4 linked regions of the Mus musculus genome follow. The protein of the gene in region 4 interacts with the protein of the main gene of each other region in a pairwise test. Links are inferred from orthologs where the notes say so. Each region holds a gene or a part of one and is shown on either strand. Other genes may lie near its edges.

Evidence for each region. The genes of interacting proteins can lie anywhere in the genome.
Region 1: the proteins of Dazap2 (region 4) and Rnf208 interact in binary tests that used the Homo sapiens proteins (3 or more experiments, as listed by UniProt). The two-hybrid records come from large-scale screens. The link is inferred for Mus musculus from reciprocal best matches to the Homo sapiens genes DAZAP2 and RNF208.
Region 2: the proteins of Dazap2 (region 4) and Smap2 interact in binary tests that used the Homo sapiens proteins (3 or more experiments, as listed by UniProt). The two-hybrid records come from large-scale screens. The link is inferred for Mus musculus from reciprocal best matches to the Homo sapiens genes DAZAP2 and SMAP2.
Region 3: the proteins of Dazap2 (region 4) and Plekhb2 interact in binary tests that used the Homo sapiens proteins (3 or more experiments, as listed by UniProt). The two-hybrid records come from large-scale screens. The link is inferred for Mus musculus from reciprocal best matches to the Homo sapiens genes DAZAP2 and PLEKHB2.

What each region holds. Positions count from the first base shown.
Region 1 is NC_000068.7:25,239,681-25,246,888, forward strand, and holds Rnf208 (RING finger protein 208), read left to right. Parts: upstream 1-3,248; 5' UTR 3,249-3,615; coding exon 3,616-4,413; 3' UTR 4,414-4,581; downstream 4,582-7,208. Other genes in the region: Ndor1 (NADPH-dependent diflavin oxidoreductase 1), read right to left, coding at 6,095-6,469, 6,652-6,915.
Region 2 is NC_000070.6:121,012,321-121,020,445, reverse strand, and holds the start of Smap2 (stromal membrane-associated protein 2), read left to right. Parts: upstream 1-3,198; 5' UTR 3,199-3,594; coding exon 3,595-3,697; intron 3,698-8,125.
Region 3 is NC_000067.6:34,846,730-34,854,885, forward strand, and holds the start of Plekhb2 (pleckstrin homology domain-containing family B member 2), read left to right. Parts: upstream 1-3,229; 5' UTR 3,230-3,334; intron 3,335-4,347; exon of another isoform or gene 4,348-5,248; intron 5,249-5,495; exon of another isoform or gene 5,496-5,607; intron 5,608-8,156. UniProt on the Homo sapiens protein: Involved in retrograde transport of recycling endosomes.
Region 4 is NC_000081.6:100,611,677-100,619,762, forward strand, and holds the start of Dazap2 (DAZ-associated protein 2), read left to right. Parts: upstream 1-3,985; 5' UTR 3,986-4,035; coding exon 4,036-4,048; intron 4,049-4,373; exon of another isoform or gene 4,374-4,646; intron 4,647-5,236; coding exon 5,237-5,355; intron 5,356-6,248; coding exon 6,249-6,494; intron 6,495-7,691; coding exon 7,692-7,820; 3' UTR 7,821-8,086. UniProt on the Homo sapiens protein: In unstressed cells, promotes SIAH1-mediated polyubiquitination and degradation of the serine/threonine-protein kinase HIPK2, probably by acting as a loading factor that potentiates complex formation between HIPK2 and ubiquitin ligase SIAH1.

The sequences.
Region 1 (7,208 bases), on a different chromosome or scaffold from region 4:
AAGAAATGCTCCAGGATGTAGCTGGAATGGGGACAAAAGGCTAGAAGGCACTGATGAGCGTCCAGGGGAGAGCAGGGGCTTCCCAGGAAGAACCTGTAAAGTCAGTGTCTAGACAAGGACTCACCTGTGGCAAGCAGCAGCCGTCTGTCTTCTTAGTCCTCCAGCTCCAGGTCCCAGTGCGGGTGAGCAGAGCTACCAGCAAGTGCCTTTTCCCTCCTAGAGAGGGGTGGGGCCTTGGGGTGGAGCTTAAAGATGGGGTTCCCAAGATCCCAAGAGGCCTCAACAACTAGAGCACAGCAGCCAGTCACCCCTCATTCCCAGATGGGTGGAGGCCAAGGTTTGGACTTTAAGGGGCATTTGCCAATCTGGGGTGACTCAATCACGATTCATCTGAGCATGCCCTACCTCCTTGGGTCATGGCCCCAGAAAGGAAGTAGAGGCAGGCCTTCAGATTCTGGGGTCTTCAGAGGTGCTGGGGCTACCCAGCCATGACTTACATCTTTTCTGCCACCGTTCTGAGCTCCTCCTTGCCACCAACACATACTGAGACGTTTGAGTGCACAAGACAATTAAAACTACTTGGAAGATTTCCACTTTAATAATAAGTTTGACACAACTTCGCAGATACACTTTACTTATCTTACATGAACTTCAGACACAGTGACATTTTCAGCTCCTTTTTTGTGTTGCTGAGTTGGGATGAAAGAACCCCCCGACCCCCTCGTGCCGTTTTCTGTTCCCAGCACCCATTCTTGGCACTGGCACCCTTCTGCTTTTGCAGCTTCACCTCCATGCCCACAGAGGGCACGAAGAGTGACGGTGGGGCTAGGGTAGAGACAACAGTGGGCTTCCCTGGGTCTGCAACCAGTGGGACAGGCTCAGACTCCAGTCAGGAAAGCACCAGGAAGGACATCAAGTAGGACAGGGCCTGCAAGCTAGGGTGACTGAGTAAGACTGCGTAGAGCCAGTCAGTCAGGTCGAGACAAGAGTTCGAGCAACTTAGCAAGTAAAAGGAAATGGGTCTGGGGGAAACATGCTTAATAAAGGAGAAAACCAGAGTTTACACAAGCTCCCTCAATCTTGCTCATCGCCCCTTTAGACTCCGCCCCTAGCCGGGAGCATGCGTAAACCAGGCCGAGGTGCTCAGTGGAAACTTAATTCCCCAGAAGCCTCCGCGCTCCTGGGTTTCCTAAGGACCGGGTTTGGACTGATCCTTGGCTCACACCGCTCAGCTCAGAACGGCCGTGGAGTTGGGGGGTGGGGGTGGAGGAACCTTATTCTCCTACGGGGCGTGGCTTCGTTTCACGGGGCGGGACCCTCGGTAGAGGGTGGGGCGGTAGGTGGCCTTGCGCGCATGCTGAGTGAATGGGTAAGTGAGCCGAGCCCTCCCGGGAAGGGTGGGCTGGTTCACTCCTTTCTCTGTCCACAGTTATCTGAGTTGGCCAACATCATGCATGCGTGACAGGTTTCCACGGAACGCCTCCCCTCTACAACTCAGCACCCGACGCCTCCTGTCACATTGTCTTGCTGAAGGAGCCCTGAAGTGGACCAATGGTTCCGCAGAACTGTAAAGTCTGGCCCAGCCTTGGCTCTCAAGGAACACTGTTCCATTCGTCCAATTGTACAGAAAGGGGCTGTAGCCTGAAGAAAATCTAGACTTTCCAGGGTCAGGCATAGGACTCAGTGTTATGCATGGTGGCCATGAGAGGGCATTCTGAACATGTAAACACCATGTCATCAGAGTGTGTCTTTAGTGTTTTCCTCACGGATTTCCCCACCCCCGCCCCAGGCAAAGGTGTAGCCCAGATAGAAGAGGATGAGGTAGGAGGAGGAGGATGAAAGGAATGGGGCCTCTGCTGGGTGGGGCCAGTATAGTACATAACTGTGAGACGTAGAAGCACGTGCTGACCTGATGAGATCCAAGAAAGGGCTACCCCACCCTAGGCAGGTGAGTGTGCACTGTGGGCCCTCCACCCTACACGCGGACTGCCAACCTATACCTGGTATTTCCAACTCTCCATCTCCAGTCCATGAAACTTCTGAGCTTCCTGTGACTGCCCCAGTTCCCTGTGACCACTCTTCTGGTATCCACTCAAACCCTTGTCCCTTTTGCTGTCCCAACTCCCTCTTTGACGAATCCTTGTGTGGATACGTCAGTGAATTGGAAAACTCCCGGCGTTCACACAGGGGGTGTGTCGGGGTTTGAAGTTAAAGGACCCTGCCCTTTCAGAGCTCGAAAGGTAGCTGAGACACAAGTGGAACGCTGGAACCCCTGCTCGGCATTGTGAGGCTCAAAATGAGGGAGTAAAACATGAAGATTTCCCTTACAAAATTTGGGGGGGGGGGAGGGTTTGGCCCCTCGGGGGATGAGCCAAGAGGCAAGGGAATCTTGTCGGCACGGGGATTCTGACCAGCCGGTAGCTAGCTGGGAGGTCGACACTGGGAGCCGACGCCAGACCAGGCGTAGATCGAGGGGCGGCTAGGAGACTGGCCCCGCCCCGTGGACCCCGCGCGGGTCCCCAGACAGGGGGTGGCGCTGCGGGCGCGGGCGGGCGCCGCGCGCACTGCGGTCCCCGCGCCTCCGCCGCAGAGCGCGCCACGCTCCGCACGCACCTGCCGCCGCCGCCGTCGCCGCTGTCGCCGCCACCACGCCGAGCCTTGCGTCCAGCACCAGCGCTCGCGCCCTGGGTGCTGTCTGCGCCCGCCATCGCCCGAGGTCTCCACTGGAGCCGCGGGAGCTATCGGAGTCACTAGAGCAAGGTGTGAGCGCCGCATCCGGGCCTGCCTTTGAGACAACCTCTGCTGCGGCGGCGGCGCAGCCGGGGAACGCCAGGCTGGGGCAGGTGAGCGGGGGTGGGAGGGGGAGGGGCGGGGGCCAGAGACATCACCCCTTTCCATTTTCATAGTCAGTCCTCCGGACAGTGAGTCCGGTCTCGGAGAGTATACTGGGGAGGGGGTTGCGTTCAGAGTTCCGTGGAGATCCCACGGATGAGGTCAGGGTCAGAGGTCGGGCACTCTGTCCTTTGTGAAGGATGGGGGCGAGGGCAAGGGCGAGAGTGAGGTGGGCCCCGTGCTGCCCTCACGCTGTCTCTCACCCGCAGCTCAGGCCTGGTGCAGGCCTCTCCATTGCTGTTGCCGCGGAGCCTTCAGCCCAGGTCCTCTGGCAGCCAGGGATCAGGCTAGCTGCCTTCCCTGGGCGCCCTGTCCTGGAGCCATGGGGCCCACCTAGCCCCTGCCTGCCCAGATGTCCCGGCCCAGGGACTGCTGACCTCTGCTACAGGAGGAGGCCCCTCCACGCCCCCTTGCCAGCTTCAGCAGACAGAGACCCTGGGTGAGCTCCAGAGCCCCAAACAGCCACCCATACCCCCTTGTCCCCGCCTGCTTCCCCCTCCCCCTCCTCTTCCTCCTCCTCTTCGGACTGAATCAGATAAGCCATTGTGGCCACTGGGAGGGGGGTTGCCCTCCAAGCTGTCACCGGCTGCCCCTTGCAGTCCACAGAGTAACCGTGGTCCTCACCAGGCCTGGCAGGACCAGGATGCAGCCCCTTCTCTTCCCCCACGGCCCCACCCAACACCCCCACCTGTGCCAACGTCCAGTCTGACTGTAGAGAGCCGGATGCCAGCTGACCCTGGGCCTGAGGTGGGCAGTGGATGGCCGGGCCTCCTCATGTCCTGCCTGAAAGGCCCCCATGTCATCCTCAAAATGGAGGCCATGAAGATTGTCCACCCTGAAAAGTTCCCTGAGCTCCCGGCGGCCACCCCCTGCTTCCCTCCTGCACCCAGGCCCACTCCCACTCTGGCACCCAAGCGTGCTTGGCCCTCAGACACAGAGATCATTGTCAACCAGGCATGTGGGGGGGACATGCCTACCTTGGAAGGAGCATCCCACACTCCACCCTTGCCAAGGCGGCCCCGCAAAGGCAGTTCTGAGTTGGGCTTCCCCCGGGTGGCACCAGTGGATGAGGTCATTGTAAATCAGTATGTGATTCGACCTGGCCCAACAGCCTCTGCACCTTCATCGTCTGGGCCAGTGATAGCAGGTGAGCCCCTGGAATGCCCCACCTGTGGGCATACATACAACGTCACTCAACGGCGGCCCCGTGTGCTGTCTTGCCTGCACTCCGTGTGTGAGCAGTGCCTGCAGATTCTTTATGAGTCTTGCCCTAAGTACAAGTTCATCTCCTGTCCCACCTGCCACCGTGAGACTGTGCTCTTCACTGACTATGGCCTGGCTGCACTGGCTGTCAACACATCCATCCTGAGCCGCTTGCCACCTGAAGCCCTGACTGCCCCATCCGGTGGACAGTGGGGGGGTGAATCTGAAGGCAGCTGCTACCAGACCTTCCGGCAGTACTGTGGAGCTGCATGCACCTGCCATGTGCGGAACCCACTATCTGCCTGTTCCATCATGTAGTGTCCACCTGCCCACTACTGCCTGCAGGTCCTTGCTCGCCGCTTCTTCAGGGAACTGGCTTTGTCCTGTTGCCCGCTGACCCTTTCTTGCCCACTGTGGCTTCTGGCCCTACCCTGCGTGGCATTGTCGCTGCAGCCAACTTTGCCATTAAAACTCTTTGCCAAAGTTTGCACTTGTTCACTGATTGAAGCTAACTCCTGTGGGCTATGCCCATGCCTGGACCTAGGGTAGGTTCCCAAGGCTATAGTCCAACATGGTCTAACCAGGAGCTGCCAGAGGGTGAACCAGCTCCATTCAAGGTTGGCTTGCTCTGCTTGTGGAAGGGCAAGCTGGCCCGAGTGTACTGCTTAGGAGGTCTGGACTAGCTGGGAACACACTGGTACATGGAGATGGGGCCCAGCTAGGGAGACAGAACTTTTAGCTGTGTGTGGTGAAGTTCATTGGTAGTCCCAGCACACTGGAAGCTAAAGCAGGAGGGTTGTGAAGTCGGCATGGGTTGCACAAAGAGATCCTGTCCAAAAAACCCACGTACTTTTCTTCTGGCCAAGGATGTATGGAAACAGCCTCTGGACAGCATATGTAGAGGCTTACAGTTGGCTACGACCAAGGACCCAGCAGTCTTTTAAATGATCTGCCTATGACTGGAACAGGTACCATTGAAGGGTTGTGAGGAGAGTGCCTGGATGGCAGAGATGGAGTAATAATGAGGATGGCAGAGGTAATGATAGAATCAGTAACAACTGTTTATTGAGAACTTTTTTTTTTTTTTGGGAGACAGGGTGTCTCTGTGTAGCCCTGGCTGTCCTCCTGGAACTCGCTCTGTAGACCAGGCTGGCCTGGAACTCAGAAATCCACCTGCCTCTGCCTCCCAAGTGCTGCGATCAAAGGTGTGCGCCACCACTGCCTGGTCTGAGAGCCTTTCTTATGCTTGTTATATAGGACTCAGCCTGAAATGTTACACCTTACATTGTGTCACCAATGAGCCATGAAGTGAGCTTAGATTTGTCTGCATCTCCCAAGTGAGGGCTCCTGGTCCAGTGACATGAATTGCAGAGTCAACTAGGAACAGAGCTAGACCTTGGGCATTTGGAGGCTTCAGGGTCTGGATGGGCCCTTGCAAAACAAAGGCAATATTGATCCCAGCTCCTCTGGGCTACCTTCTCTGGTGAGAGTAGCTTAGGTTGGGTGGGAGCTTTTGAAGGCTGGCTTGTGCAGTGCAGGCCTCTCCTGGTAGTTACTGTGGCTGCTGCTGTTGCCTTCAGGACACACACCAGCTTCTGTCTGGTGCAGGTGAGAGTCTGCAGCCCTTGCCTTCTCCAATGAACAGATCTCAGGATAAACAGAATCACTGTTGGAATCACACATTTGTGTCCACTCTCACCAGCTGGACTACGAGCTGGCGGTATAGCCCAGCTTCTGCCTGTGGCCAGTGAGATGACCGCCCATGGCAAGCACATAGGGTTCTTTTCACAACTCTTTCTGCCAGGCCAAGCTCCTTCAGAGGCTGTCCTTGTGTCCTTGGCTTTAGCTAATATCTAGGCTGCAAGGGTGTGTAAGCACTCTGGCTGGCGTAGGCTCTTAGGCATGTATAGTCTTGGTATTGGTGATAACAAGTCTTTGCTGATTACCAGAATCCAAGCGTGCATGGACTTCAAAGCTTGGCCAGCATTCTGGGCTCTGCTTAGTGGGTGGAACGGTCTAGCAGCATGAAGAGCACCCCTAGTAAAAGGAGCGGCATGAAGATGACCACCAGCCCGAGCAGTTCAAGGACCAGTAGGCTCAGCAGTGACAAGCGGCGGGCACAGGGGCCACGTTCCCGTAGTGCCCACAACCAGGTGCCTAGGCTGGGAGGGCAGGGCAGGAAGGGGAGACAGCTTCGCCCTCCCACAGGCCCTGCCAGGAAGCGCAGCTGGTAGCGGTGCTCTAAGGGACCCCAGGGCCAAGGGCCAGGATGCAGGGCTGTGACGGATGCAGTCCGCATTGGGCGCTGGGGTCCATCAGCTCGAAGCAGTTCCTCCTGCAGCTGACAGATCTCCCACTCTAGCATAGGTGTCTTCTGACGACACAGTGGACAGCACACACGGCCCAGGTCAGCTCTGGGGGTCATGCCTAACAGCTGGTGTAGGCAGCCCACACACAGGCTGTGACCACAGTTTAGCAGGGTCAGGTGGTGCTCACTAGGCCCATAAGGCTCAGCACAGATGGGACATTCCTCCTCCTCCACAACCTGCCCCTCACCTTCCTGCTCTTCCACAGTTGACTCCAGGGCCCTGGCAGCGGATGGGTCTCTGGCCTCCAGTTCCGGTTTACTGTCTGGAGTTCTGGCACCCAGAGGGGCCCTGAGATCATCCTCTCCATCTGCTGGTAGCTGGCACAGTGGGTCCAAGAGCTCAGGACCCAGAGAAGCACCGGGTGAACTAGTAGACACAGAGCTGGTGTCATTAGGTCCCAGGTTACCACTAGAACAGAGGTCAGGATGCGTAGACGGAGACTCCAGGATGACTGCAGGGATTGTTGTAGATATGAAGGTGTGGCCCTCAGGAGCCAGGCAGAGCTTGGCCTCCACCCATCCACCTGAGCACTAACCTCTAGATAACCCTTTCGGCTTGCTGACCTCACTGGAAGTAAGCTTCACTTGGGTCCCCGCAGCATGTCAACTCTTGGTATCTGAGGCCTAAGAGTGGTGTTGGTCTGGTCCCTGTTTTCCACAAGCTGACAGACAGAACCGAGGTTCCTTAGCGCCCAGCTGCCCTTGGACCTGTCTGACTGCTCCAACAGGGTTTCCTTCCCAGCAG
Region 2 (8,125 bases), on a different chromosome or scaffold from region 4:
TTCATTTACTGTGACAGCTAACGAAGAGATGACAGGAAAATAGAAAATTAGTCCAGCTCGCTTAATGACAAAGCCATTTAATTGGTATTACCCTAAATTGGTACCCTGACTAACCAGTGGGTTGGAAACTATTTTAGTTCAATGTATGACTCAAGAGATTTTATCTCCTAGCTAGAAGATGCTGGGATGAAAAGCTCCACGTGGCAGCAGTCCAAACATGTTCCCCACAGCACTACTAGAGTCACGGTCTGGGCATTTTGCTGCAGAGCTCACTCTAGCATGGCAGCTCAGGAAAAAATTCATTTCTGAGCCAGGTGGTGCAAGGTACTCTGCTACAAAAATAAACAAGAAAGGGAACAGATAAGTACATATGCCTCGAGTATTATGAATTTTTTCTTTATTGCTCTTTTGTTTGTTTGCTTGCTTGCTTTAAAACAGGATCTCCTGTAACCTAGGATAGCCTAATGTCCACTATGTAGCTGAGGCTAGCCTTAAACTCCTGTGCTACCTGCCTCCATCTACCAAGTGCTGGGGTCACCTATGTGCCACCATATCTGGCTTTGATGAATCCTTTTTATGTAGGATCAGCTAAGTTACAATTTGGTGAGAAAACAACTTAATAACTTAAAGCAAGACCTTTTGTTGTTGTTGTTGTTGTTGTTGTTACTCATTACTTCTGATCTTTTTCTGATTAGTGGCGAGCTCTTGCTAAATTCAGGCTTTGGTTACAAAGCCTAACCTGGAACTTCTAGGGCTGCCCTTGCAGGGACCAGGAGCAAGGGCATGTTCTCTACAGTCGGTGCTTCAGTCTGTCTTGACTGTCTGTCCTTTGTGGATAGTGTGTTCCAGTCAAAACAGCAAATTAAGGCTTCAGACATAAAGCGACATATTTCTGCTTGGCCCATTGACTATGTCTGACTACAAACAGATCAGGAAATAAACCCTATCATGGACTGATAAGGCCAAAAGCCAGACATATTTAGCAATAGGTGTTGATTGTCTACCACTTGTTTTGTGCTGAGAGTTGTTCTAAATGCGTTGCAGGTTTCAGCCCTGAGAAGCTTTGCATCAATCCCAGGAAACAGGTAGTTAGCACCATTATCATTCCTACTGCATACATGAAATACCAAGGCAAGAAGTTAAGCAACCTGCCAAAGCCACACAAACAGAATTCAAATTTTGGATCTCAGCCCAGGTGATCTGACCTCATGGTATATGTGCCTCGTCTCCATACTGTGCAGCCAAATGGAAGGAAATGAGAAGCTGTCAAAGGCTTTTTCAACGGGTGAGCATGGTTAAGTGAGATCCTCGTACAAGAGGAGTCAGGTGGAGCAAAGCCACCCGTGAATGACTCCAGCGCCAGAAAATTGGATGCCCTTTTCCTGGACTCCAAGGGCACCTGATCTGTTATGTGCAGACCCACATATAGACACACATACACATAGTTAAAAATTAAAACTAAATCTTAAGGCCAACATATTGCAATGCCTCTAATCCTAGCACTCAGGAGGCAGAGGCAAGCAGAACTTTGTGAGGTCAAGGCCAACCTGGACTACAGAGTGAATTCAGGCCACCCAGGGCTATATAGGGAGGCCCTGTCTCAATAAAATCAAATAAAAATTTAAAAACGACTAAGAGAATATCAAATCTGATGGACCTGTCTTAGGAAAATACTATATGAACTTGGACGTTTATGAAAGTAAGTTCTTTGAGACTTCACTGGAATGAAAAGGTTTGGAACAGGAATAAATTATTCTGATTAATAATGTAACAAATATTTTAATTTCCCTTTATAATATATAAATATTATATATTACAATATATAATAAATAAATATATAATATAAACATTTTGAGGGGAGCCTGGTCTTGGGAGAAAGTAGAGATGAACAAGACTGCTGTCTTAGAGGCAAATAAACACTTTGTCTTGCTGGCCTCCCTGGTCTATTACTCTAGCCTTCAGAAGAATCCCTTAAGAGCAAATATCAGGAAGTAGCGTTCTCTTCCCCTTTAGCACATCCTGTTTTTTCTCAGTCTCTTTTAAGAATTTGATGAGTGAAGGGACGGAATGCATACACAGGAAGATGGCCGTGGGTTCAAGACACTATTTGTAACAAGAGAGGCTTTGGAAAATAATACCTAATAACCATTTTTAAGTAGCTGCTTATTCCATGTTACCCTATAACTGGCTCTCCCCCAAACAACCTGAGAGATGGCTCAGCAGGTGAGAGAGTTTGGTAATCTCTCATAGGACCCTGGTTCCTTCCCCAACACCCACATCACACACCCTCATCCATCAGCTGAAACTCCAGCTTCAGGTACTGCAATGCCCTCTTCTGGCCTCCTTGGACACCTACACACACACACACACACACACACACACACACACACACGCACGCACGCACGCACGCACGCACGCACGCACACGCACACGCACACGTACGCACTCACACACGCACGCATGCACACACACGCAAGTAAAGGAGGCTAGGTATGGTGGCACATACCTTTAATCCCAGCACTTTGGAGGCAGTTCTCTGTTAGTTCGAGGCTATCCTAATCTACAATATAAAGTTCCAGGCCACCAAGGGCTACTTAGGAAGAACCTGTTCAAAAAAAAATTTTTTTTAAAGGAAAGAAAAGTTCTGCCTAGACACTAGTCAGAGCGATGCTCAAAAAGGGCAGTAGTCACAGAGAAGACTAATGTATATCAGCGGCAGGAGGCATTCCAAGTTAGAAGTGATCACGAGGGAGGGTGTAATGTCTCTTTAACTCGGGTCAGAGGGTGAGTCCTTTTGTCTCTTGAAGGAAAGACTAACCTAAAGGAGTCTGGGATAGCCACAACCCTTGTATTATATAAGGATAATAAACACACATCTTATAAAGGTTGCTGTGAAGAGCATACTGTGATAATTGATAGAAAGCGCTTAGAGCAGTACATGGCACACAGTATGAGCTCTGTAAATGTTGGTCGTTCCCTTCACTTTATTCTCTTCACTCTCCTCCCTCTCCACCCGGCTTCATTCATTCTTTTCCAAGGGCACGCAGGGGGCGTGTCCTCCCTCCCGCCGCTTCCACCTAAGCCCCGCCCCCGGCTCTTCCCGGATTGGTTCCTAGGAGGCGGAGCCAAGGGGAGAGCCCAGTGCAGCGCGGTGGGCGGGGCGCATGCGCGGGTTGGGCTGGGTGGAGGAGGAGAGGAAGAGCTGCCGGAAGTAGGCGGTGGAGGTGGCGGCTGAGCTGGTCGCAGCTGCCAGGGAAACCGAGGCGGGAAGCACAGCGGGCAGACCCTCAACACTCGGGGTCAAGTGTGCGTCCCGCACGCCTGAAGCCGGGAGCTCGCTCCACCTAGGCCACTTCTGGGGTCCCGCAGCCTCCGCGAGTCCCTGCCTTGCCCGAAGCCCGCCAGGGGGCGCCGCGCTGAGGGGCTGAGGGGCTGCGGGGCGGGGGCGCTGACGGCTCTGACCCCGGGGCTGCTCCGGGCCGGGCGAGAGGACCGCCTGGGCGGGGACCCCAAGGCCTCAGCCCCGGACAGAGGCAGGGGTTCTTGGGGGGTGCAGGGGGCGCGTCGCCCTCTGCCCCCGCCGGCACCCTGGCCATGACAGGCAAGTCGGTGAAGGACGTGGATCGGTACCAGGCGGTCCTGGCCAACCTGCTGCTGGAGGAAGATAACAAGTTCTGTGCTGACTGCCAGTCCAAAGGTAACGCATCCGGGGCGCCGGCGGGGGGCCAGCTGCGGGGCGGCGGCGTGGCGATGAGCTGCGATGGCCTGAGTGGGGAGGGGGTTCTGGAGCTCAGGGCGAGTCCTCTTCGTATGACCACGCGAGCCACCCTCGCTCATGAGCTTGCTGGGTTTCCTCGGGCTTGGGACTTGGGGTTTGGTGTGGGCGAGTGTGTGTGTGTGTGTGTGTGTGTGTGTGTGTGTGTGTGTCAGCGAAGTGGGGATGATATAGTGGGGGGTGGGGTTGCCCGGTGTGTTCAGGTGAGACTGTCTATGTTGCAGACTCTGAATGGCTTCTGGGCTCGCTGTCATGCAGAGCTGGCAGCCTTTTACTTGGCAAAGCTGTGGGTGAGCTGCAGTGTGGTGGGGGTGGCGGTGGGGGTGACGAGGAGGAAGGTGAGATGACTAAGAGAAAAACTGTCGAAATGATATTTAAAGGTGGCATTCCTTGCTGTCTGCTATGTCGTTAGCAGCTCCTGTCATTTTACCACCTTGTTGAGCTCAGACCGAGTGCTTAGGTGGCTTTCTTCACCCAGGTCGTGTGCACTGAGAAACAGCTACCTTATGCAGTGACACAGTGCGGATTTCTAGGTAGTCTAGCCTGGGTTGTGGAGGCCTCATGCGTGTGTGGTGAGCGAAACTAGCAGACCTGGACTGTAGTGCAGGACCCGTTCAAGCAGGGAGAAAAGGAAGCAAGGAATTCCCCCAATTCGTTATTTCCCTGGTGATTACACCTTTAGAGAGGAAATAGAAATTGGCCACAACCACTTAGCCTTTGTTTTCTGTGTCTGTAAAGGTTCATGCTGTGTTACAATTAAAGGTCAATATGGTAGAAAATTTACTAGTGAATTCTGTACAGCTTTGTAGGTAGGAGCAGCTATAATTGGGAGGGGGTATTTACTTTAGTTCATTTCCTGAATTTGCCATGTAGCATATGGGTATAAAGTAGTATAAAGCATTCAGATGTGTGTGTGTATTAATGTTGAGAAAAGCAATAGATACTTAGCCCATACTTCATGTGATTATGGTTTATTTTAGAGTAAGGTTATGTAAGGAGGGCGCAAGAATGATGATGCATTGATTTAGACTCCTAGTAATAAATTTTAGTGACCTCTATCAGTAGGCAAATGCAGTGAACTGTCAGCAAAGCAGGTCCCCAGACTTCTCTCGAGAATTTTTGCGTTAACAGGAGTTCAATTTATGTTGAGGAGTCGAAATTTCTTGTAGCTTGATTCTTGTTAGATCTACTGGAAGGTTTGGTTTACAGTGTAGGAGCACCTTTGGTCTACTCAAATCCTCTGATGTCCTCATTGACAATTTTAAGTCGCAGCGAGGCATCCACTGAGCAGAAACCATTGTTGATGATTTTTAGAACCGCCCCCTCCCCTGTACTCATGTTGTTTGTATGCTTACTCATCCCAATAACATATACCATGGGGAAGAGACACGTTAATTTACCAGGTCTTCCTCCAAATCTCCCATTGCCCTTTATTAATAGCCTTACTAGATATAATCAGACATAGAACTTCGTTAATTCCTGATGAGAACTAGTAACTGGGGCCTGCGATAGGGCTCAGTGAATAAAGGTGCTTGCCACTAAGACTGACAACCTGAGTTTGATCCCCAGGACTCACAGGGTAAGAGGAGAGAACCAGCTCCCATAAATTGTCTCCTGACCTCCACGTGGACTCTAGTACATACATGTACAATCTCCACAAAGTTAATAATTAAGATGTAAAAACAGACGACACCAACAACAAAGCCTAGTAGCTGTCTGCCACTGATACTAAAACCTTGGATCCTGAATGTTCTGAAGTTAGAAATTCTCTTCAACGCGTTTGCCACTATTAAAAAAAGAGATGCCCACGTGTCCATTATCTTTCAGTTCTGTCAAACAGGCTTTTGCAGAGGCCTGTTTATCTAGCTGCCGAATGTTCAGCCCTGTCTGCCGGTTAACCCCTCCTTCATTCTCTTCCTCTTTTCCACTTTCAGGTTTTGTGATGAACTCGTAGGCAGTTCTCAGAGGGTAGGAAAGAGAGATATTTGCATTAGTAGATCATGACCTGCTCAGCCCTGATAAAAAGGACCAGCAGTTGGTGGAAGAGTTAGAAGACTGTTCACTGAAATAAGATTTGAGTTTGAGTTTACTTTTCTGTTTTCCTCTTGTCCTTTTCAGAAAATTGAGAGCTCACCAGACAAGGTCTGGAGAGTTCATCTATTAGTATTTAGTGTATTGATGTTGCCTGGACTACAGACCTCTAAGTGGATACTTTTGTAATGTTCCAAAATAGCTCTTTGGCAATGAATTCTCTTTTTTAAAATTTAATATTATGTTTTAATTTATTTATTTGTGTGTGTGTGTATGTGTGTGTGTGTGTGTGTCAGAGAACAACTTCCACCATGTGGGGAATGAACTCAAATGGTCAGGCCTGCTGGCAAGCATCTTTCCTTACCCACCGAGCCATCTTGTCACCTGATGTTTCTATTTATTTATTTTCAGGAAAAATTATGTTTCCTAAACGTTTTATTTTTATTTTAAATCATATGTATATGTGAGTGCAGTGTCCATGGATGCCAGGAGAGGGTGTTGATCCCTTGGAACTGGACTCACAGGTGATTAGGATTCATCTGAGGTGGGTGCTGGGAACTGAACTCAGGCCTTTTAAAGAACACTATGAACTCTGATCCACAGAGTAACTTTTCTAGTCCCCTGACTCTTCTTTTTAAAATCATGTTTAGGAGTGATACTTGTTAGTTGATCCTTAAAATAATGTCATTCAGCACTGGGATAGAGACTAAGCAGGCACCTTTCCCTTTATTCAGTAGAAGGCCTGTTGAGTCAGGTTTCCGAATGTCCTGGACTGCTTTGACACTGCTTTGTATTAAAAAAAAAAAATGCCAATGCTTAGTGGTTGTGGTGCGTGTCATTAGTCCCAACTTGAGAGGGGAAGGCAGGGGGATCTCTGTGAATTAGAGGCCAGTTGGTCTCTACAGTGAGTTCCAGGACAGCTAAGGCTGTTACATAGAGAAATCCTGTGTCAAAGACAAACAAAAAACAAAGAAGTCACAATTTAAACCATCTGAGGTGGCTACCCCTGTAATCCCAGCACTCAGGAGCTGGAGGCAAGGAAGGAAGATAAGAAGTTCAAGTTTGAGGCTAGTCTGGGCTATGTGAGACCCTGCCTCAAACAGTTCCCGTTCCCAAATGCTATGACTTATTCTTAGCACAAAGTGCAGTTTCCTTGTCATGACAGCTTGCAAAGTAATACCTACATGGACTGATCTCAGCAATGATAAAGTTAGAGGGTGTACCAATGTTGATAAATGATTGATAAATGAGGAAAAACTAGTGTAAGAGCCAGGTATGTCTCTGGTAACTGGCTGCTTGAGACCTGGCTCCATCATACTTCCATTGTACTTGGGGTCACAGTAGCCCAAGGCTGGGCCTTTAGCTCTGCAGCTCCAGATGTTTATGAATGTGTTGGCATTAACCCATTCAGAGACTGGTGTCAGAGGGTCCACCTTTCTGATGACCTGCGTACTCCTGTGCACCATTGAGACATTACCAGCGTCAAGGTTTGGGAGAAGCAGAGAGCCGTTTAATGAGCAGAGAGTAGACATGGGAGACATGACAGTGTCAGGGAACATATGAGTGACACTGAAGTGCCTCGTGCAGCTCTGCTGTCTTGAGAGCTTTGTTAGTTTTTCCCGGTCCCCTTCCATTACATCTTGTCTATGAAATGTTTCCCCTCTAATTACCTAACCACTGCCTCTGTTTCATCTTCTCTATATATTTTCACTTAAGTAGATTTCATGTGGTTTGAAATTCAAAAAAAATCGAAAAGACAACAGAATGAAAAATCATTGTCCTAAGGTGACCCATAGCCACCTTTGTTCTCTTCCTGAGTATAACCACTGTTGGCCATTTCTTACCTGCCCTTGTCCTATGTTTGAAACAGGCTGGCCTTGACCTGTAGCTGATTAAATGAACTCCTGATCTTCCTTCTTAAATTCCTCCTGTTCTACCTCCCCAAAGCTTGCACTGCCGGCATGCAGCCTTGTCCCCAATTTCTTAACCTGTATATCTGAGACGAGTTTACATAGTTTTGGCTTGCCTGGGACTTGCTGTGTAGACCAGACTGGATGCAAACTTGCTGTGATCCTCCTGTCTCTTCCTCCCAAGTGTTTTGCCTCACCTGCCTTTCATTTTAAATGTATGTGTGTGAGGATGTACATGTCTCACATATGTACCTATGCATGTGCACTTTGTGTAGAAGCTTGATGTCGACATTGGGTGTTTTCCTCAGTCAGTCTCCAGTTTTTATTGGGGAAAATCTGTTACTGATTCTGGCTAACCTAGCCACCTTGTTCTGATGATGCCCTGTGTCTGCCTCCTGTACACTGGGGT
Region 3 (8,156 bases), on a different chromosome or scaffold from region 4:
CAGAAATCTGCCTGTGTCTGCTTCTCAAGTGTTTAACGGCATGCACCAGTGTGCCTGGCTTTGCTACCTTATTTTCTCACAGCAGTAGGAAAGTAAAGTGAGTTATCCATGACTTTTTGTTCCTGTGATAAAACACACCTATAAGCAGCTTGTGGAAGAACTTACTTTGGCTTACAGTTCCAGAAGGCTAGAGTCTGTAATGTGGGCCCTGGCAGCAGGGTATGTGTGGCATCTGGTGGCCAGAGCAGGAAGCTAAGAGCCAGCCCCCAGTGACAAGAGTTCCTCCAGCCAAGCTAAATCTCCTGAATACTCCATAACTGACTCAGTGTCACCAAGGAACCGAGTGTTTAAATACCTGAGGGACATTTCCACCACCACACTGAGATCGATTCCCCGAACAGGTGTTCTACCTAATAAGACCTAACAGCCAGAGCACCATGACATGAGACACTACCTGACTGCCTGCACACAACCCTGCCTCCACATCAAAGTAGCTCTATAGAATGCCTCCAGGGAGACAGTATTCTTAAATGTTATCCACTTCCCAGATCTGCCACCTTCTGCCAAGATGAATCTCTCCCTAGCCTGTCAGTGTCATCCTGCCAGCACAAACAACCCAAGTACCCATTACTAGGGGATAGTTCAATGAACCCTGGTTCATCTATATGGTAAAAATTCTAATTAAAACAGAGAAGAAAGCAAAGCAAAGAAACAAGGAGCCTTCCCATAGATCAACATGGGGACATAGGATTGTGCTGAAGGACACTGTGTAAAAAAGGAGAAATACATATAGTGTAAAAATATTGTGTAATTTACAAATCATTCAAAAGCAAATAGCACCAACTACCTGTGGTGAGGCTGGGATAGAGTGGGACCTGAGCAGGTTGGGGGAATTAGGAGAAAGATAATGTTTGTGAAGGCTTTCTTTGCAGCAAAACAAAAATCTCATTTTTTTTTTCCTGGAAGCACAAAAAGTATCATAATCCCTTCAGAAAAAAGTCTAGCTGTTTCTTATAAAACTAAATGTACTATCCTACAAATTGTACTGTGGAGAATAAAATCATGCAATCATGACATCCTCGAGTGGCCCCTCCTGTTGGGCTTAGACCAGAAACTAAAGTTTCAGCACAGACACACAGGGTCTAGAGTGGATGCTCACTCACACACAGTGGGCCTGCTGAGGGCGTGTGCTCACTCACACACAGTGGGCCTGCTGAGGGCGTGTGCTCACTCACACACAGTGGGCCTGCTGAGGGCGTGTGCTCACTCACACATAGTGGGCCTGTTGAGAACATGTTTTAATCCTCTTCTTCCTTCTTGACAAGGAGTTAGAACACAAAGCCAATTTCACTAAATTAGAAAACTTACTAAGCCTCTTCACTAGTTCCTGGAAAACATATTTAACTCAAACTGTATTCAAATACAACTCTTTTTCCTATTATTTAAGGTATGTATGTATGTATGTATGTATGTATGTATATGTATCACTTCTGTATATATTCATTAAAGAAAATTTTGGTATCTGGAGAGATAGCTAGCAGTTAAGAGTACTGGCTGCTCTTAAGGACATCTCTGGCCTCCATGGGAACCTGCACCGTGTATACATACTCCCACACAGACAGACAGACAAGTAATTTAAAATGAAAGGAAAATTCAATAAGTGCAGTAAAGTAGGAAAAAAATCTGCATTTTCTATTGCTGTGAAATTATCATGACTCAAAGCAACTTAGGGAAGGAAGGACTTATTTAGTTTATAAATCTTGATCACAGTCTGACATCGAGGGAAGGCAAGGCAGGAACTCAAGCAGAGACCGTGGAGGGACCCTGCTTACTGGTCTGCTTTCTTATATAATCCATGACCTCCTGCTAAAGGATTGCATTGCCTGTACTGAGATAGGCACCGCCCCCCAATGCCAATCACTTTAGAGAAAGTCCCCAGACTTATCTGATGGAGATTTTTTTCTCATTTGAGGTTCCCTTCCCAGATGATCCTAGTTTGTGTCAAGCTGACAAAAACTAATCAGTACAACAGCTATAGCTCCATCAATGTAAATGATCATAGGGCTGTCCGATGACCTGAGGGTACCTTCGGTCTCCTTCCCACAGGGCAACACCCATCTCTCCTGTAGGTAATTTGAGATTAGGCATTTCCTGGTAGGAGGGCAGATACAGCAGATACACAAGTGTATTTAAAACCAGCTTTGAGTATACGTGTTATGAGGGTACGTTTTTCCTTGAAGTGAAATAGTAACAAATTTATTTACTGTTTCAGGTGTAAACACGGTGTGTGTTTGTGTGTGTGTGTGTGTGTGTGTGTGTGTGGCACATGCATAAAGCTATAGGATGTATGACCCACCAACTCAAGGCTACCTAACAGCCCATCTGTCAATCAGGGCAAAGGGTCTACCTAATTTCTACGCAGGGAATCTGCTCCTCACTCTACTTAAACTCACAACGCTCCAAAAGGTCATGGGGGTCTTGAGTCTTATGCTTGCTCAGGCCGTTCCCATTCTGGGGAGTGTATTCCATGCATTTTCTTTGTAAATAAATGTACCCTTTGACAACCTTTATTCTGTGTTGTGCAAGTCATTGTTTGAGACACCAAGAACCTAGAAAAAACCTGGGATACACAAGGCACTATAATTAAAAGAGTATTTTTTTTTCCTTAGACTGACCTTGAGCTCACTACCTAGCTAAAGATAATCTTGGCCTTCCTTTATATCTTCTTACCACATCTTTCAAATGCTGAGATTACAGCTGTGTACTGCCATGTTATGTAGCCCAAGCTGCCCTCAAAGTTATTATCCTCCTGACTAAGCCTCCCCAGTACTGAGATTACAGTCCTACTAACACCCCCCGGCTCCTTCCTCATTTATTTTTTTATCCTTATATTTTATATTCTAAGCTATAACATTTCTATGTGAGTTATTGCTAAGACTTCCAGTTTTGTTCCTTGATTGCTGTTTCAGTTTTGACATCTCCATCTTCCTGGTTTTTAAGCCTGCAGGTCTTCATTTCTGGCTCTGAGAGGTCCCAGGTTCAGTTTGCCCTTGGCTTGCCCCCATTCCCGCTGTCACGCTTTTCTCTACGAAGCTCTGTGTTTAGAGGCCAAGATCAAGAAACTTAGAACCACCTTTGAGCAGATAACAGCCCAGGTTGAGAGCAACGCCTTGGCTTCGGCCCTGCACCCGGGTGGCACCTGCCTTGCGCGCATGCGCATGGCTCGAGGCGGTGACGCAGGACCAGGACTCGCGCGTCCAGCGGAGAAGCAGGAGAAGCCGGCGACCTTGCGCTCTCAGCCTGATCCCTGTCTTGGCGGCCTGAACATTCGCAGGTGACTGTGCCCGCGGAGCCCCCCTGCGCCCGCGTGCGACCCCTTCCCCGGACCTCCCCGGTCGGAGGTACCCCATTCGGCCCCGCTCACGCCCCTCCGGGGGTAACCCGCTTCGCCAATACCCCCTCTCAAAGCCTGGCTCTGGGGAGCTCTAACCTTGCTGGCCGCGCCCACTTCCTCGGTGACACCACCCCCCCCAGCCCCTGTTCCTTCCCCCTTCTCTAATGTTCCTCGCCTCCCCCCCCCCCCCCAGCTCTTGCCCTCTTCCTTTTCCAGAGTGTCTCCATTCTGACCCACACCCCTCCCTCGTCCCTAACGTCTGCTGTTCTGATGATACACTCCACCTCACACTAGCTCCTGCCTTTTCCCCAGTATCCATCCTCATTATATTACTCCAGCCTCTCCCTGCCTCCTCCCCACTCCCCCATGTCCTCAATCTTAATTGTATCCCCCCCTCCCCTCCTGTCTCTTCAGTGTCCCTACCCTGACTGTTCTCTTCCTTTCCCACCTCCTACCCCTTCCCAGTGTCCCCATCCTGATTGTATCCTCCCCCCATCGGCCCCCCAGCTACTACGTTCCTCCTTACTTAGCGTCCCCATCCTGATTGTATTCCCCTCCAGCTCCTGACTCCTCCCCTGTCGCTAGTGTCCCACATTCTGGTTGTACTCCCTCCTCCAAGTCTGTCTCTTCCCCACTTCCTGATCTATCCTCCCAGCCCTTCATAGTCTTCCTTAGGGTCCTGTCTAGCCTAGCTCCCCTCCATTTCCCCCTGGGTCTCTGCAGGGATTCTTCAGTGTTCCCCACCATAATCTTTTCTTCTCCTGACCCAGTGACCAGGTCTGTCTTGTACCCCTGCCCTTTCCTCAGGGTCTTTTCCGGGTTCACCAAAAGCCCATTTTTTTTTTTTTTTTTTTTTTTTTTGAGACAGGGTTTCTCTGTATAGCCTTGGCTGTCCTGGAACTCACTTTGTAGACCAGGCTGGCCTCAAACTCAGAAATCCGCCTGCCTCTGCCTCCCAAGTGCTGGGATTAAAGGCGTGCACCACCACCGCCCGGCCCAAATGCCCACTTCTTGATGTATCCTCCCCAGTCCTACGCATCCCTTCCCAGGTGCCCCCTGTCCTAAATGGTATCTTCCCGTAGAGCTGCTTAGCCCTTACCCTCCCTCCCCTTCTCCACCTATGTCTGGATAAGGTGGTGGGGGCTCTTCTGAGGATGGGAGCAGTTTGGCCTTTCTGATAGCTCCTGTGACTTCACAAAGTACCGCTACTGCTTTACTGAGACCCCAGGGCTTTCTTCTTCCTGGGGTTGCCCTGCTCCGCTGGGCCTCCTGCTCCTCTGCACTTTCATGGTCTGTATTATAGTGCCTTTAGTTTTCCGTGTTTGATTGTACAAGCCCTGACTCCTTTTGGTTACATTTTATTGTTATGCAATAACAATAGTTAGATTGAGACTTTGGGAGGTCAGGGGTTTTTATTTGGGGTAAGCAGAATTTGTTGTGTCCAACTCTCAGGTGCAGAGTGGCTTACAGAGAGTCTTCATAAAGGAGTGGAGTGATTGCCAGTGTTTTAGAAAGGTGGGAAGCTCACAGATTCTAGCGAGACTACGTGGCTCGTTCAGAACACAGTGACTAATTCCTCCAACCTCCCACCCCCCTCGTGCATCTCATTTGACTAGGATAGGTTGAAGCGACCCATGCAGGAAGTGACTTGTCCCACTTTGCAGGAAGTGGTAGGGTGGCGACTGGGATTTATTGCCTACTTACTTAGGGCAGGGAGTGTTAGCTGGAGTATTGACCAAACATGGCTGGAATCCACCAGCCTGTGCTGTGGGCTTGCCTTTTGGAGTGAAGAAAGCCCTCCTTTCTTAGGCTGCTTTGACAGGTAGCTTGGGAAGAGACCCTCTAGCTCAGCAGGTACTTGCCTGGGTTTATCTGGTGTCTGTGGTGTTTGTTCTCTGTGTGAGAGATCTCCCACCTATCTTCCTCAGGGCAGGAACCAAAACTGGGTTATGGTGTTTTCCTGTCAGACACACAGTAGCTGTTCAGTAAATTAAGGGTGTAAGCACTTTTTCTTTTTGTAAGTCAATCTCCTGATAATAAAAACTGAATTTATGAAACCAGTTTCTCTCTCTCATTATGTCTGTCTGTCTGTCTGCCCCAGCCCCTTTCTATCTCCTATCTTTCTAGCTGGAACCTGAACCTTTAAGTGATAGTTTATGCAGAGAGTCAGTGATCCGAGAGGGAGGCAGATTCGCACCTTTGATCGCCCTCTTGTAAGTCAGCTGCAGCCAAAGGCAGTTTACCATGCCAGACACAGTCCCTGAGGTCTATGGTGTCTGTCACCTCTCCTTATTGCCCGAACTGCTCTATGGCAGTCTCATCTTAAGGATGCTGAGTCCTTCGTGCCTCTCTGTGTCGCCTGGACCGAAGGGTTAAATCAGAACTGCATACCTTGAAAGGGTGTGTGTGTGTGCAGATTGCTTTCTATGACACGGATTACAAATGTGTCCTGTACCCTTAAAATATAGAGTAGCTAGACTGTAATGCTCATATCTTCCCTTCCTGTGCTTTTGCATTCGATCTGGTCAGTAATGAGTCATATCTGTAGGTTCTGTATCATATGGGCGGTGGTGGCATCCTGCTGCTGCTGCTGCTGTGTATAGGTAATGCTTAATATGGCTTCAAACTTGTCAGGAACTTTCCAGCATAAAGCTGTTTGAAACAGTAAGCGGTTGTGCTGTTGAGATGGGTAAAGAAAAACCAGCAGAGTTTCCCTGAGGCCTGCAGGGCTCAGGAGCCAGGAGGCAAGAGAGCTGGATCAGAGCTGAAAAGAACACTTGGAGTGTTTTGTTTGTATGCGAGAGATGGTTTTATGAGCTGTCTTAACGTGTGTGTGTGTGTGTGTGTGTGTGTGTGTGTGTGAGAAATCTGAGCAGGTTTGCTTGTTTTTTTGGTTTTTTTTTTGTGTTTTGTTTTTGTTTTTAAGCACACCCTATACAAGCAGCACATACCTTTGGCAGCTTTGTTCTGTCTCCTGTCAGAGTAGCTGCACAGAAATTTGCTCCTGTACCACTAGCTAGCGACAGCGTGAAGGGGCGGGAGAGGGGTGGGTTCTCCTTGACTCCCCGAGAGCTTGACCTTGCTTTTAGCTGACATTCATATGCAACTTCTTTCTGTCTTTTTCTCCAGCCTTTTCTTCTGCATTAGTGGATGGCAGACAAATTAAAGAATGATTTGATTAGTGTCAGCAACTGACCCAAAACTGGACAGTGCGAGCCGAGAGAGGAAAGATGCAATTAGATTGATATTTCTTATGCAGCCCAGGCTCAGGGGTAGCCATGCCCACAGTGGCCTGGGCCTTCCCACATCAGTTATTAATCAAGAAAATGCCCTCCAGGCTTGCCTGTGAACAAATGGATGGAGACTTTCTCAATGGAAGTTCCTTTTCCCATGTAGCTCTAAGCTTGTGTCAAGTTGGTGAAACAAAGCCAAAACCAAAAAGGCCAACCTAGATGAAATCTGTCTTTATTTTCTGATAATTCTCTTTGCTTTCAAATAGGAAGGGGGGAATTTTAGTGACTGTATTATAGGAACTGAAAGTCAGGAAGCGTGGTCATATATTTTAAAACTTAATAAAGGCTAATGTTTCTAAGTATAGACTTTGGACCCAAAAGACCTGGGTTCAAATCCTCGTTCAGTTGGTCACCTTGGGTAACTTACTTGAGATTTCCAAGCCTTTTTATTATGATTATTATTATTATTATTATGTTTTAACTATAAAATGAAAATATACCATCAACTTGATGAAATTTTGGAAAATTGACTGAAATAATATACAAGCGTTTTTGGAGAGGGGACTTGACAAATATTCAACCCAAGGTAGCTATTTCTCCAGCAGGTTAAAGGGCCGGAAGAGTCAATGTTAAACAGATTCTGTGATCATTAACACTGACTGTCAATCAACTTGACAAGCTCTAGGATGGTCTAGAATACAGGCCTCTGTGCTTGCCTGTGAGGGGCTTTCTGGATTGGGTTAGTTGAGGTGAAAAAATCTCCTCTAAATGTGGGTGGCACCCCACAACAGACTGGGGTTCTAGACTGAGTCAGAGGAGAAACCCAGCCGAACATCAGCGCATGCCTCTCTCTGCTTCCTGACTACAGGTGCAAGGTGACCAGGGGCTGCCTGTCTTCACAGCTACGATGTCCCTGTGATCTGGAATAAACCCTTTCTTCAGCAAATGGCTTTGGTCAATTATTCTGCCAGAGCAGTTAGGAAAATAACGAATCCACTCACCATGGGGGTGGGAAGAGTACCCAGGACACATGACCGACTCTGGAAGAACAGAAAGATTTCAGTTTGGGGACGTGGTGGCATGCTGTGTTCCACGATTTATAGTTTATCCCTTTGCATCATTATCATTTGCTGCCTTTGTCACTTGTATGTCACATTACAGGATCCAAACATAAACGGAGGGAGTCTCACCAGGAGCCCACAGTTGAGAGACCATGGAATGGTAGAGAGACTTAGTTTTTAAGAGAGCCTTTGAATATTGTAAGAAATGTCGGACTTTTAAGTGTTGACTTTTTTAGTGACTGTCGGAACTTTTTAAAGTTGAGATGCTTTAATATTCACTGTTGTTATTAAAATGAGACCTTGAGGACAAACGAAAAAGGGAAGTTTATTGTTTAATAGTGTTACATTTGTGTGTCAGGTTGACAGGGGGCCAGTTATGATGGTGGGTTGTTTTTTTTTTTTTTTTTTTTGGTTTGTTTGTTTTGTTTTGAAAACTTGACACACCTTAGAAGAGAAACCTCAATTGAG
Region 4 (8,086 bases):
GCTGACAATGAAAACCAACCATCACAAAGCCAAATGTGAAATGGTACGTTGTAGCTCAGTTCAACAGACAAGATAATCACATTCAATAAAAACGTCTGGGCATCATTTATGTGCAGTGACCACAAGACCAGAGAGGCCATTGGATCCCCTGGAACTGGAGTTACAGATGGTTGTGAGGTGCCACGTAGGAGCTGGGAATTAAACCTGGGTCCTCTGAAAGGGCATCCAGTGCTCTTAATCACTCAACCATCTCTCCAGTCCTAAGAAAAGTAAGTGCTGGAATACAGTTCCCTACTCAAATGGCCAGTCTTAAAAAAAAACAAAACAAAACAAAACAAAAAGACAAAACAAAACAACCAACTCACTCTGCACAGGAACCACTTACGACAGAGATGAAGGTCTTTAAATCCTGACAAATGGCCCATGAGACTTAGCAACTCACTGTTGACCGTTACAGGAGAAAGTGGTTTCCTCTCAGTCACATGATCCCGCGTCATGTTCACCCTCCGCCTGTCTTGTCCTGTATTTCAATAAATTCTTTGTCTTTTCCTGCCCTGGGTAAGGGTTTTTTTGTTTTGTTTTGTTTTGTTTTTTCTTCAAAATTCGCGCTGTCAGCTTCCAGATGCAAGTTTTCTAAATCTCCTTCTAAACTCCTTTCCTTTCTCTTCTGCCCTCACAGCTGGCCATTAATTCACATTTAGGTCACTCTACATTAGATTTTAATTTCTATGTTTTATGAAATGGAATCCTTTCTGCCGTGTGTATTATTCTTTTGGAAGTAGAGTCTTATGTTGTTTGGACTGGTCTTTAACTCCTGAGACCAAGGTTCTCCTGCTTCAGCCTTCCAAGTTCCTACAGCTATATTCTTATATATATCAGGAGGCTGTTATTGAACCTGGAACCACCTGCATCTAAGGGCCGCCTGTGTCTGCCTCCCTAGCTGCTGCCCTCTGCTGGGTGCTGGGTGCTGGGTGCCCAGGCTCAGGTTCTTATTGGTTGTAGAGCCAATGTTTTACCAGTGAGCCATCTCCCCAATCTCTTCCTTAAAGCTTATTTTTAAATTTAAATTTATTATTTATTTTTTTTAAAGATTTATTTATTTATTTATTTATTATATGTAAGTACACTGTAGCTGTCTTCAGACACTCCAGAAGAGGGCATCAGATCTTGTTACAGATGGTTGTGAGCCACCATGTGGTTGCTGGGATTTAAACTCAGGACCTTTGGAAGAGCAGTCAGTGCCCTTAACCTGTGAGCCATCTCTCCAGCCCCTATTAACTTATTTTTAAATTTAAATTTAGTATTGCTAATTTATGTCTGTGTGTGTAGGCACTTGTGGAGGACAGAGGGCAACTTTCAGAAGTTGGTTTCTCCTTCCACTATGGGTTCTGGGGACTGTCCTCAGGTGATCTGGCTTTCATGGTTTGTATTTTACCTGCTGAGGTACAGCAGCACCCACAAACACAGGTGCATACACAAACACGAATACTCAAAATGTAATTATAAAATGTTTTATGTTTTGTTTTTTTCTTTAAAAAAGACCCACATGACCATGTGACTTTTCTACTTAAAACTCTTCAGTGGCAAGTCAGGGTCCTCCGGACAGAAGGCGTGTTTCCACCCAGGCTCTGCCCTGGGCTCAGCACTGCCTGGCTCCTGCTTCCTCTTCAGCTTCATCTCCCACCAGTCCTGCCTTCTGTGATCTGGCCGCACTCTCTGAGCGCTATGGTATGAGTGATGTCTTCCTTTTCGCCGGGGATCTTCTTCACTTGTTTAGTGGCTATGCACTCCTCAAATTTCGTCTCAGGCATCATTTCCCCCGGGAAACCGTCCCTTAAGGAGAAGATAGTAGGCCCTCATCTATGTGCGCTTCCTGGCATCGCAGGTGTACTCGTTGTCTCTAAAGGCCGCACTACGATTACAGTGGCTTTTCTAGGCTGTTAGTTTCAAAATGGTGGAAGACTCTGCCCGCCTCGTCGCAGTTGTTTCTCTAGCACCTAAGATGGGGCCTGACACAGTGGGCATTCATTAAGTAGTTGCTACATTCCTGTAAGAAAGCGTGTTTGCTAAGTGAACAAACACCGATGCGCCCTGCTGTCCGGGACTGGAGCCAGCTGCTACTTAGCTCCACCTGGTGGAAACAGCAGCGGCCTGCAGCTCCCCATTTCCCGCGGGGTGCTCCTGCATCCCCAGGCCTTGGGTTCAGGATATTAAGCAAAGTATCAGGCACCTAGCATAGGAGCGATCGACCAAGCCGAGAGCAGCTATCACGTTCAGGAGTCAGCCCTAGGAGGGCCTGGATATTGAATTAACCTTTTCTTCATAAGACAGTGGTCCTTGGAATGGTTACCCCATAGCAGCATCTGACTTTTTAAATTTATGTTGTTGCTACTATTGTTTTTATTTCATATGTCTATGGATACTTTGCTTTAGTCAAGGAAATGTAAATACCACAGTCTTTATGATACTGATTTAATCCAAATCAAATTAATATAAATACTTAATGGGAACTTAAAAAATACCCAAGAGAGTTCCCTAACATCCTTTAGTTAGCGCAGCCTAGTTAGGGGATGCTCTGTGTGCTGACAGGAAACCAAAATGGAAATACTGACCCGGAACCTGGGAGGCCGAACACAAAACTCAAGTCTGTAACCTGTCCTTTAGATCAGTTTTTCTTTTCTTCTCGAATGTTTATTTTTATATGTGTGTCGGCGTGAACCCATGACACTCATGCGCAGGTCCCCAGGCTGAACTAGATCAGCCTCTCAGGCTGCTGTGCTTGCCGACTGGACGAAACTGCATTTACAGGACGCCACGCAAACTGTTAAATAGACACCTGACACACAAGCAAGGCCTTCGGTGTCGGACGAATCAGGAGTCCGTTCACCAAGGACCTCTCCCTCCAAAGCCTGCCCATCTACTTGACCACGCACAACACGAACTTCTGCAGACAGCTGCGGCGGTCGGTTCCTCTGTGCATCTATGAGAGCGCGTTCGGTTGCTCAGCAGATATTCTGGAACGAGGAAACGGGAAAAAATGTGATCACTGTCCTAAGAGACGTCGTCGCTACTCTTCTGGACAACTGAGCGCGGGCTAAACCACTCACAACATCTGTAGGGAGTTTTCAGGTCCCCGTAGGACGTGCCAGGCCAGGGTGCAGGTGCTGGCTGCGTCCCCTCAGCTTGTGCTGGGGCACGGTCTATCTCAGGACAGGGGGCGGGGCGCGGGGACACGGTCCATCTCCGAGCACGAAGCCAGGCGCTGGGCCCTCAACAAGAGGCCTGGAAGGACCAGAACGGCGGACAGGCTAAGGTCTGAGGTCTGGGCTGCGTCTCGCAGGCACTGTGGAGTCGTGACAGCCTGTGTTCACACCTGAATTTGGTGAGCAGAGGCGACTCACAGTGAGGAAGTCGCCCTGAGATGAGCTGACTCCGCTTTCTTTAGGGCGGGGCCGCGCAGAAAGGAGGAGCGCGCGGTGAGGGAGGGGTCGCGCAGGGAGGGCGGGGCCGCGCAGAAAGGAGGAGCCCGCGGTGAAGGCGGAGCGTTCAGGGAGGCGGGGCTAGCGGTGCGGTGAGGGCGGGGCCGCGCGGGAAGGAGTGGCTCGTGATAAGGGCGGGGCGCACGGTGAGAGCAAGGACCGCGGTGAGGGCGGGGCCGCGCAGAGAGAGCAAGGAACGCGGGGAGAGCGAGGAGGGCGGGGCCTCGCAGGGAGGGCGGGGCAATTAGTGAGGGCAAAGCGCGCGGTGAGGGCGAAGCCGCGCAGGGAGGGGCGGGGCCGAGCCCAGAGGAGGCGCGCGCCGTGAGGGCAGAGCGCGCGGGGAGGGCGGGGCTTCCGAGCAGAGCAGGGCCGCGAGCGCCCTCCTTGCCGCGACTGGCCGGCCTGCGAGGGGGCGGGGTTTCCGGCGGCGGCGCACTCGGGCATCTCCTGACGCAGAGTGGACGAACGTCACGTGACACGGAAGTGACTCCGAACAGGAAGAGGACGAGAAAAATAACCGTCCGCGACGCCGAGTGGGAGCGGACTCAGAGCCACCATGAACAGCAAAGGCAAGGCCGGGAAGTGGCGGGGGCCGTCGGGGAAGCGGGCGGGTTCGGGTCGAGCGGGCTGGGGGACGTCGGGCCTGGGGCGGTCTGTGCGGCTCTCTTCAGCGGGCCGCACAGCGCGGCCGCACCTGACGTGGCCGCCCCCCTCCACCCCCACAACGCAGCCGCTCGGCCCTCTGGGCCCCGACCCCATAAACCGTGTGGCGCAGTTTGGAGCCGCGGGCTCCTGTGTGTGGGGTGGGGGGGCTTTTCCGTGACGGACAGCGGCTGGAGCGAATGGCGAGCTAGAGCAGGGATTTGGGGAAGCCAATGGAGGGCGGGCGGAGGCGGGGCGCCGCGCCTCGGAACAACAGGCCTCGGCCGAGCTTAACTGCTGAGGTGCCGGCTCCGCTGCACGGCCCAGGCCCTCGAGGACCCGTTCTCGCCCGCCGGGGACTTCTGGCGCTTCCTCCTCGGGGCCCGGACTCGTAGCCGCCCCTGTGCGTTGCTAATGTTTGTGAGAACATGGTCGCGTTCCCCACCCCTCCACCCGCCGCCCTTCTCACGGTTAACTTCCAGTCACTCACTCTTTGGAGGTCGACCTTGACTAGGAACCCGTGAGGTAAACACTGAGAACCGTGGGTCCCACAGAGTCAGGACTGGTTACAGCACAGCCCGGGGGAGATCACCCAGAGGAGTCCCCTAAGACACCAGCAGTCCGGAGACCCCGGAACGGGTCCTCAGACCTGCCCTCTATTCGAAAGGGAACATGGCCAAGTTAGCCTCCATCAATCAGTATGCTAGTGGGAACGGCGCCTTCTGCCCAGTCAGAAGCCAGCACCTTCGGGCGCGAGGGTGCCGAGACCATCCTTATTTTCCTGGCTCTAAGAAATAAGGCAGCCTTATTTGCAGCTCTTCTGCTTGCTCCCCACCCTGTGCACCCTGGCCCGTCTAGTAGCTCTGCTTACAAACTTGTTTTTATTCAAAGTGTGCCTGCCTCTGCCTGTGTAAGTGTCTGTGAGTGTGAGTGTAGGTGCCCACCAAGGCAGAAGGTAGCGTTGAAAGGAGGTTGTGTCATATGTGGGTGCTGGGAATAGAACTGGGGTCCTCAGGAAGAGCAGCACTTTGTCTCACACACTGAGCATCTTTCCTGTTTGCCACCTCCCCTCCTAATCTGACAGACAACATCTCTCCTCCCCTTTTGTATTCCAGGTCAATATCCAACACAGCCTACCTACCCTGTGCAACCTCCTGGGAATCCAGTATATCCTCAGACCTTACATCTTCCTCAGGCTCCACCCTATACTGATGCTCCACCTGCATATTCAGAGGTACTGCAGTTTCCTAGACTTGTAGCTAGTTGAGAACACTCTTGGATCCCCTTGTTAAGTCTTCAAATCTGACTTCACAAGCAGAAGGATGCTCTGTGAATCATCTAGAACTTAAGGTGAAAATTACCATTGGAATTGAATGCAGTATCTGATTATGCTATTTGACACATGCTGACTTAAGCTGAGTTTGGGTCCCTTGAGCACAATAGTAGCTGTGGACGCAAATGACTCAGAATACTGTGTGCCAGTGACTATAACCAGTGTGTAATCTGCAAACACAAGAACTAGGAACAAGGGGCTAGAGAGATGGCTCAATGGTTAAGAGCACTGCTTTTCCAGAGGTCCTGAGTTCAAATCCCAGCAACCACATGGTGGCTCACAACCACTGGTAATGAGATCTGACACCCTCTTCTGGTGTGCCTGAAGACAGCTACAGTGTACTTACATATAATAAATAAATCTTAAAAAAAAAAAAAAAAAAAAAAACAACTAAGAATGGACTCATGAGCCATGCGTGGTGGTACAGGCGAGTAGTCTCAGCATTGAGAGGCTGAGTCAGGAGGAAGCTGAGTTCAAGGCTGCCAGTATAACCAAACCCCATTTCCAAAACCAAACAAGGGGCTGGGGATGTACCTGATTTGGTAGAATGCTTGCTTAGCATGCACCAAGCCCTAGATTTGGTCCCTAGCACAATGTGAACTGGGTTTGGTGGCACAGGCTTCTAATTCCATAGTCAAGAGGTAAAGCAGGAGAGTCAGGAGTTCAAGGTCATCCACTCCTACATACTTGAAGGCTAGCCTGAGCTACAGGAGATGGTCTCAATAATACTTAAAGAGATTCCAAATAGGAATGTCACAAAAATAATGTTTTGCTTTCTCTTCTGCTTCTTTCAGCTCTATCGTCCAAGCTTTGTTCATCCAGGGGCTGCCACAGTCCCCACCATGTCAGCTGCATTTCCTGGCGCCTCATTGTATCTGCCTATGGCCCAGTCTGTGGCTGTTGGGCCTCTAGGCTCCACAATCCCCATGGCTTATTATCCAGTTGGTCCCATCTATCCACCTGGCTCAGCAGTGTTGGTGGAAGGAGGGTATGATGCAGGTGCCAGATTTGGAGCTGGTGCCACTGCTGGCAACATTCCTGTGAGTATGCCTAACTGGGAGCTCAGCCCTTGTATACTTGAACAGTCTGAAATGACTTCATATTCATTCTCCAACCATAGTGGTCAGGGCTGGCACAGCTGCTGCCCTCTCAGAGCAGAAATGTGGCCGGGCCAATCAGGGCATTGGACACAGCCCTTGGTTTTAGAGTTAATCAGGTTGATTTGTTTTCTTGTCTTATTAAATTAGTGGCATCTTCCTTTGATCCTAGCACTTAGGGGCAGAGACAGGGGGATCTCCGAGTTTGAGGCCAGTCTGGTCTACAGAGCGAGTTCCAGGACAGCCAGGGCAACATAGAGAAACCCTGTCTATAAATTTAAAAAGACTGCTAGCTCCTTTTTCAGTTGTTCAGGCACAGTGAACTGGTCCAGGGGTGCTGCTTGGTGAGTTCATAAGCATTTAATATTTGCCATGAGTGGGGAATGTACTAGGAACCCAGATGATTAAGAAAGTAGAATGCACGGTCCCTAGTAAGTAGGTTTTATTTTCCAGGTCCTCCTGCTCAGTGACACTGTGTATGGGGTTTGTAGCCCACAAGGTTCTAGCAAAGGGCATCTTCTTAGGAGTCATTCTAGAGTGAGGTGACTAGAATGGTATCATTATTGGCTTTTAACAATGTTGTATGTTAAAAACCTAGGGTTGCTGAAGATGTAGCCCACTAGTAGAGCATTTGCTTATCTTGTACAAAGGGCTCTCCCCCTCCCTGGTAAATAAAACCCCACATTCACAAGAGATCCTGTGGGGTGGGCGTGGCTCTCCCTGAGAAGGATGGGATCTGGATTTACAGGCTACATCTTAGAGCTAGAACACTCTGGGTGAATGACAGATTTCCTTTCCTGTTTATGTCCTGGATTCAGAGAGAGTAGGCATGCTCTAGAACAAACTGTTGCAAACTTAGCTCCTTAAAATGCTGGTTGCTTGGTACTGTAGTACACTCGATAATCTTAACAGTGGGGAGGTTGAGGCAGCAGACTTCCTTTGAGTTTAATGTCAGTCAGGGCTACATAGCATGAACCAGTCAAGTGAGAGTTACTCAGACCCTGGGTGGACCTATCCCACTGCCTGCAAAAAAAAAAAAAAAAGAAAAAGTTACCGATTGGCACATTGCCATCTTCTTACGCAGCATCTGCTTCCTGTGTTCTTTCCCTGTGCCCACTGTACCTTGTTCTTTCCTTCTAGCCTCCACCTCCTGGATGCCCTCCCAACGCTGCTCAGCTCGCAGTCATGCAGGGAGCCAACGTCCTTGTAACTCAGCGCAAGGGAAACTTCTTCATGGGTGGCTCAGATGGTGGCTACACCATTTGGTGAGGAGCCATGGCCACTCCTGTGCCGGGGAAGACATCACATACCTTCAGCACTTCTCACAATGTAACTGCTTTAGTCATATTAACCTGAAGTTGCAGTTTAGACACATGTTTTTGGGGTGTCTTTCTGGTGTCCAAACTTTTGAGGCACTTTTCAAATTTAATAAGGAACCATGTAAGGGTAGCAGCCCCTCCCTAAAGCATTCTGAGGTAAGGAGGTATCCATTCTTCAAATGAATGTGAGTGAAGCAGCCCAAGGCTCTTCCTTAA